Tribolium castaneum: one gene and its partner. The protein of the gene in region 2 interacts with the protein of the main gene of each other region in a biochemical or structural test. Links are inferred from orthologs where the notes say so. Each region holds a gene or a part of one and is shown on either strand. Other genes may lie near its edges.

Region 1 (3,398 bases), about 3.5 Mb from region 2:
CAGTGGTGTTCCGTTACTCCCATGGGAACCCCCGCCACTAGTTCACAATATCTACGCCAGTGAGGTGATGTCGCATCCGGTGGTTACACTGAAGTGTGTTGAGAATGTGGGGCATATTGTTGAATTGTTGAAATTAACAACTTATAACGGATTTCCGGTTGTTGATCCGCCACTAACTGATCAATCGGAAGTTACCACGTATGGGAGAATAAGAGGGTTAGTTTTGAGGTCACAATTAATTGTTATTTTGAAAAAGAAGATTTTTAACGAAAATTCGGACTTTTGGGAGGATATTAATGCGGGAATCTTTCGAGATGAGTATCCCCGATATCCAACAATAGAGGTAGTGGTATTTCTCTCGCCCTTTCCTTTTTAAGTAATTAAGTTTAATTCTTTAGCAAGTGAGTGTTTCCGAAGTTGAAAAAACTTATTCTATTGATCTGAGGCCGTTTATGAATCCGTCACCATATACGGTGCTTCATGTAATTAAAAAAACAAGTAATTAGCATTTAATCATTTTTTTTTTTCAGTCGGCATCACTACCTCGAATGTTTAGATTATTCCGAGCTCTCGGTTTACGACATTTGCCGATTGTTAATGACACAAATGAGGTTATAGGAATGGTAACAAGGAAAGATTTAGCTCGTTATAGAGTCTGGAGACATCGGGGTCGCATGGGGGTAGAAGAATTATTAATTTCCAAAGAAATATGACCGCTTACAGTATTATGATATGATGATATAGTTTCACGAATAATTATGTTGTCGCTTTTGACAAAAGAATTTTATTTATTGTTAATTAAAGACTTTACCCATTTTCCATTGTTTTTATTCTAACCAATTTTTTTTAATGAATTCACTACTTGTTACTGAGACAATTTTTATTAATAAAAATGTGATAAACTACATAAAATAAAACAAATCGCGCTAAATCTACCGTAAATAATACAATTCAAATGGCTCCATACAAAATATGGTCACAGTATTAAAGCTACAACTATGAATATCTCAGCACCAAAATATAAAAAAATCACTCTGGTGTATAATTTTTATAAAAAAATATAAATCGTACTCTATCCTTAAAACTGTCCCGCAATGATGGGACAGCCAGCATTCACATGTTCCATCACTTCCAATTTGAGCATCCCCACGTGTTCCTTCAACTGGTTGACCACTGAAGCCAATTCAACATTCTCACTTTTCAACAGTTTGACTTTATCCTCCAATTTCGAGATTCGTTCCAATTTGCGGGAACGACATTTAGAGGCTGCGAGTCTATTCCTTTGTCTCTTTCGCTCCAATTTCATTCTTTCCTGATATTCCATATCGACAGGAGACATTGGGGGCGTATTATTCACGTTGGGCACCGTTTGGGGCTCCTCTTTGATCACAGGCATGAAATTCTGCTGTTCGCTGTAAACCGTACTGGCATTACTGTCAGAACCTTGCTGAGAATTGCCATTGTGAAGATAATTAAGCGCTTCGACGAAACCGCCTGCAAACTTCTCTTGCTCCACAGTGACGTCCCGCGGGAAGATAAGTGAAGGGGAAGGCGTGTGTGAAATATTATTCGCCAAGATGATGTTCTCAATGGTGGGTGTGTCCACTTTGAGGAGGTCAGGGGTATCTACTTTGAGGACGGACGTGATGTCGGGGGATAACGATAGGTTCATGTTCATTTTCGACTGATTAAGATCAAGAGTGAGATTTTTCTTCATGTTACTGAGGTTTTTTTGCTGACTTTCAAAGTTGGGTCCGCTCATTTTTTTTATCAATTATTTTTGTACAATTCCCAACCTAACCACGACCAAAGATTGAAAAATAGGTAAACAGGCACGACGACCAAAGCCAACAGTGAATAATAAACGGAATCACTAATTTCCATAAAATCTGAAATGGAAATTTTAGGTTAAGTTACGTCAATAGCAAACAAAAGAATATCGAGAAATGAAGATTCTCGAAGAAGAAAACAAAGTGAAGGTCTGTGAGGTGTCCCTCAAGCATTACTTGGTAAAAAAGTAAATAATGAATCTTTAATATTATAACACTTACTTTAACACCACATTCAAAAGCAAAGCGCTTTTATTTGTAATGACTCACAATGTAGCACAACACTGGCTTGAAAATTTCTTGAATATAACTTTTAACTTCTTGTGTAGTATTGTTCTCGAAATACTACAGAATACTAACAAATACGACGTAATAACTTTCGATATGAATGAGTCATCCCTTTCATGGATTTTCAGAAATGAGAATGACGTCATGTCGAAATGATTCGCTAAAGCGACACCTAGACAATTCTACAGGAAACTGACCGCAGTGTTTTACGGGTTGCCAACATGATCTTTGAACCCCATCTTACCCCATCCAAAAAATACGATTTAAGAAATGAAAAGACAGTGATATTAACGACTAAAGTTTTAGCCGATTTTCATTCAAAAATTGTGATTTAATTTACAAAAAAACTTTGGAAACAAAGAAAAAAGTGTAAATATTTTATATTCTGTCCGACTTTAAATGCGATAAGTACTACAAAATAAAAACAAATTATGGTAATAACCAAATAGATAACTATTTTTAATTATCATGCGAGGAAAAAACCTTTATTTAGAAAATGTATGATAAGAAGCATTGGCACTAAAATAACAGAAATTGTAATAAAGAGATCAACAATAGTTGTCTATTTCTTCAAAATGACGAAAAAATTCCTAACCTGCTTTATTTGTAGCGTATGAGCTAGTTTGCCTAGGGTAAACACAGTTCCCTTGACCTTAATAGGATAATTCATTTAAATTACTTTTTCGATCAAAATACGTCCCCGAGTGTATGCATCAAGGAGCTCCTTGGTCCGTCCTTGGTATACATCAACGGTTCATAGGTTAAAAAACCCAAATAAAATTGATTTGCAAATAATAATTCCACAGGGAATATTTGCCACTTCCTGTCTCGCCTTCGCAAAGCGGAAAAATGGATGGTGTTATTCAACGTGTTATTTCATCAATTGCAACAAATTTGGACGGATATGGTGAATTATCCAATTGTATCAAACGGTTTCGTAATACTAATTAGGATAATAAATTAAAGGGTAGACACAACTTTGCAGACTTTGCAACACGAACGAAACATTTTTTTTTTCGGAAAAAAAAAACTATGTAGGAGTTAATCGAGCCACATCATAGCAAATCAGTAACACGTATACGCCAACTTTTTTTTTTGTAATTACGGAAATGGTAACCCTTCTTCACTTCAGTTCATTTACTATCAATCAATAAAAATTGAAAAAACAATCCGTTATATTTTTCTTAAACGCAGATCGCACTTTATGAATCTTTCCGTTAGAATCAAGGTTTCGCGCAGGCCCTATTTGAAGCTGCATTCAGTCTTCATATTGAACTCAAA
Region 2 (3,876 bases):
ATCGTTAAGTTAACATTTAAAAGCAAACAAAAAATTTTATTTTATTAAATAATCTTAAAAAAAATCAAGGTTTTACAAATATGCTTTTTTTTGAATAGTTTGAAAGTTATATAAATGCGATAAGCAATGAGTTTTTTGAAATATTGAAACTAATTCTCGGGTCTTCAGTTTTATATCATTATTAAACATTCAAACAGCATCTATATCTTCAAATATTAAAAAATTTGCTAATAAAATTTTAATTTGTTATCCTTCAGTGTTTTAAATTTATAATCTAAACTAAAGCATAATAATAAATCCAGAGTATAAGTCAAGACAACACAAAAAGTCGAATTTTTTATAATATTAGCATCAGTTTAAGTATGAAAATCAACCAGTCCATAAAAATAGCCACTGTAATATTACAAGTTGTTAATTATTCAAATGAGCTACAACTATTTTTTTTTGGTTTTTTATTTACTACTACCAACGTTTTGCCACCTTTTTTAGATTTCATCAAAACAATAAATAATTAGAAAACTTTGTAGTTTATGTACGAATAAATTTCTAATTTGCCTCAAAAAAACAAAATAAACTGCACTTTGTCTACTATACCAAGAATACTTAAATATATTTAACTTTTATATTGCTACATTAAAAAATAAAAGTTTTTCTTCCTTCATTTATTGTTCTTAATACAAAAATATTTATGTTTTTTAGCTCCAGATTTTTTTTGTAATTTAAGAAAAAGTTATGTTCACGTTTACATTTAAAGTTACGTTAACCTCTTACGTTTACATCCTTTTCTCTTAAGATAATTAAACAGCATTTCTACATTTTTCAAGTTACAGTCCTACGTCTACAATTTAATGTTTTTATGTACCTTTTGCTGCATTATTTTCTAGTTTTTAGCGATTTTAAGCGTTTTCTTGTTTACGTTTAGAATCTCTTATTTGTGCTTCTGTCATATTTTACTTTCTAAGTCGGCATATTTCCTGCATTTTTCTTAATTTATTACTTAAATTTTCAAACTCAATAAAAAAACCACTAAATTAAAGTACAGAAAACATTTTTTTTGACATTTTTCATGTGTGTCAGTAGACATTTGATTTAAAAAAAATCATATTTTAAAAAATTGTAAATCAAAAAACTTCAATATCAAAATGTCACTATTTTTACCCTTATTATGACTTGCTGTTTGCTTTTGACTCCGATACTATTTTTTTTTCATTATAAGTCTCCCAAAAATCATAAAATTTGTGTATTTTTTGTTCTTTTTTTTTGTATAGTCAATTTTACGCCATTTTTCAAACATTTTTGCACAAAATTAAACTCGCTATTATATTATGTTAAAACATTTTTAAAGTCTCAGTGAATTTTTTAGTCAAAACCTCACTTATTGCGCAAAATGCAAAATTAAAAAATACCTAATTAGGTCGATGCAGAAAAAATTCTCTTTCATCTAGTAAAAGAAAAATTGAAACATGCCATTTAAAAAAAATAAGTTATAAGTTATAAGTTGTCCAAACTTAACTTCAAAATTTTTGGGTCTGTTAACTTCTTTTTCAATTTTGAACAAACTGGAGAACAGATGTAGGCTTTCTCTTTTAATTTTTCAAATATGATTTTGAAATCTCTAAAACTGACAGAATTACCGATTTTTTAAGTGATAGGTGCAAATCCAAAAATTTTCAAAAAATTTTAAAAATCTCGAAATCGAGTAAACTGATAAAAACGGTCTAAAATAACTCAACTAATGCAAAAACGCACTGAAAAACGTAGCTTTCCATTTGAAATAAGAAGATTGATGGCGACTTCCGGTATAACCAAAAGTGCTACCATCTTGAAAATATATTCATTGAGCAGAACTTAACAGATTATGGCTGAGTACCAACTTTCAAATAAATATCTTTATTAGAACTTTCAATATTTTAAATGTGGAATTTATACGGAACAGGCTGTATGTAAAATATAATTTCTGCTGTTGTAATAAAAATGCGTAAAATCGTTACGTTAATTTTTTATAAAAACGTTGGCAATAATGGATTTTTTTTCTGCAAGTGGTGTTATATAATTACTTGTTTTTCAGCCTGATGATGTCTAATGTAATAAGACGAAACGTTCCATAACTCTCTTTTGGTTCTTCCACAATAATTGTTCAACTCTATAATTTATTGAAGTTTATATCGATTTTGTTAATTATTGACTAGCTAAAATAATTTGATTTAGCTGCTTTCCTCTCGTTCCAATTCAATTTTATCGTCTTGAATAAGAAGTATAACATAAATATAATAAAAAATATAGATTAAAAAAAAACAGTTATTATTAGCAAAATCAAACTGATTTGATGACAGTATTTTTTAATTACAGCTATCGCTGTCCGCTCTAACATACCTGGAATTTACAAAAATTCGTGGAAGAGAATAAGATTTAAAACAATTTTTGTATAAACACGCGTGTTTTTGTTGTCGAAAAGTGCCAAACCCAGCCACAACCCCCTCCTCAAACTCACCCCTTCCGCTCCTGCCGACGAACCTCAAATCATTGAACTTGGCGACTTGGTTCTTCATGACCGCCGTGCAGTTCCTCAGCTCGGCGCAATAGTTCTCGTCGTTGCCCGCCCTGACCGTGACGACGGTGCCGTCGCCCACGTCGCCGAGGGCCACCACCTTGAAGGCCACCGGCAGCGTCTTGTTGGACCTCCAGTGCGGCGGCAGCACCGTGCAGACCACGTGCGGGCTGCCCGTCCTCACCAGCTCCCCCGGGTGCTCCGCCAGCAGCCCGTCGATGGTCCTCTCGGCGAGCATCTCCGCCGTCAGATTGCCATAGCTCCGGTCGTAGTGACCGGTGGTGGAGGTGACTTCTCCCGTCGCGAGATGCATGGAGGTCAACTTCTTCGCGGCATGACGCGGCCAGCGCACCGCGCGGAAATGCGATGAAAAATCACGGCTGTGATGCTGTGGCGGTGGACCGCAGCTGGAAAAGTGCGCGTGGGGTTTTCCCGCGACGCTTTTCTCCCCGCCTGCCACGACCAGTCAGCGATATGTTTTTCTAATTACGCTCTACCTCTCGCTTTGGCCCATTACGGGGCGATGTCATCACGCCGACGACGCCGTTTTTATTTTCGATGCAAAAACGGAACCGATTCACAACGGAGGTGCGAACGAGACGATTCTTGACAACGATCTGGAAACAAATACGGCCTTTCAAAACCAGAAACAAGTGCTAATGAAAGGGATCATTACAGGGATTTATGATAAAGCTGACCCCAAACTCTAAATTACTCAAACGACTTTTTCTGATACAATTAACTCAAATTTAGAGTAAATTTCGAAGTGGCCTACAATGACTATTTTTTGCTTCCAAATTTGAAGAAATAGTTGTTGAAAACAAATTTGGAAAAATTATATTTTTTGGACAGTCTGAAAATGTTCTAGATTATGTATAGAACAATAAAGTTGGAACAACCAAACTTGAAGTATTTATTTAAATGTTTAATTTTTTTTTATTTTATTATTAATTCTTGATGAGCAAAATATATTAATGCATCAAATAATACTAAGATTACTAATGTACTTAGTCACATTAGTACATTTTTAAGAAAAAATACTAGATTAACAAATTTTCTTGTAATAAAATAATTTTTTAAAAAACCTCGAAAAATATTTTAAATTTCCTATGCAAACCTCATATCGTTAGAAAGCTTATCAAAAATGCTATCAATACATAAAAAAATACATGGTGTTCTAGTTGAAAAAAATGAGTTAATCAACTTTTTGAGTTTTGGCACACTCTGTATATTAGCAGCGTGCTTTAACTAAAAATCATCTATTTGTTAACACTGCAAGGTATTGTAAATTTTTCTATTTTTTTTTTCTAAAATATTCAAAGACGACT

The links.
Region 1: the proteins of runt-related transcription factor 3 (region 2) and Jra form a complex in vitro, tested with the Homo sapiens proteins (2 studies listed by BioGRID). The link is inferred for Tribolium castaneum from reciprocal best matches to the Homo sapiens genes RUNX1 and JUN.

What each region holds. Positions count from the first base shown.
Region 1 is NC_087399.1:145,765-149,162, forward strand, and holds Jra (Jun-related antigen), read right to left. Parts: upstream 2,196-3,398; 5' UTR 2,052-2,195; intron 2,004-2,051; coding exon of another isoform or gene 1,931-2,003; intron 1,890-1,930; coding exon of another isoform or gene 1,771-1,889; 5' UTR 1,763-1,770; coding exon 1,079-1,762; 3' UTR 863-1,078; downstream 1-862. Other genes in the region: ClC-b (H(+)/Cl(-) exchange transporter 7), read left to right, coding at 1-343, 399-482, 531-713; phosphatidylinositol N-acetylglucosaminyltransferase subunit Y-like, read right to left, coding at 1,771-1,889, 1,931-2,003. UniProt on the Homo sapiens protein: Transcription factor that recognizes and binds to the AP-1 consensus motif 5'-TGA[GC]TCA-3'.
Region 2 is NC_087399.1:3,629,649-3,633,524, forward strand, and holds part of runt-related transcription factor 3, read right to left. Parts: intron 3,166-3,876; 5' UTR 2,862-3,165; coding exon 2,492-2,861; intron 1-2,491.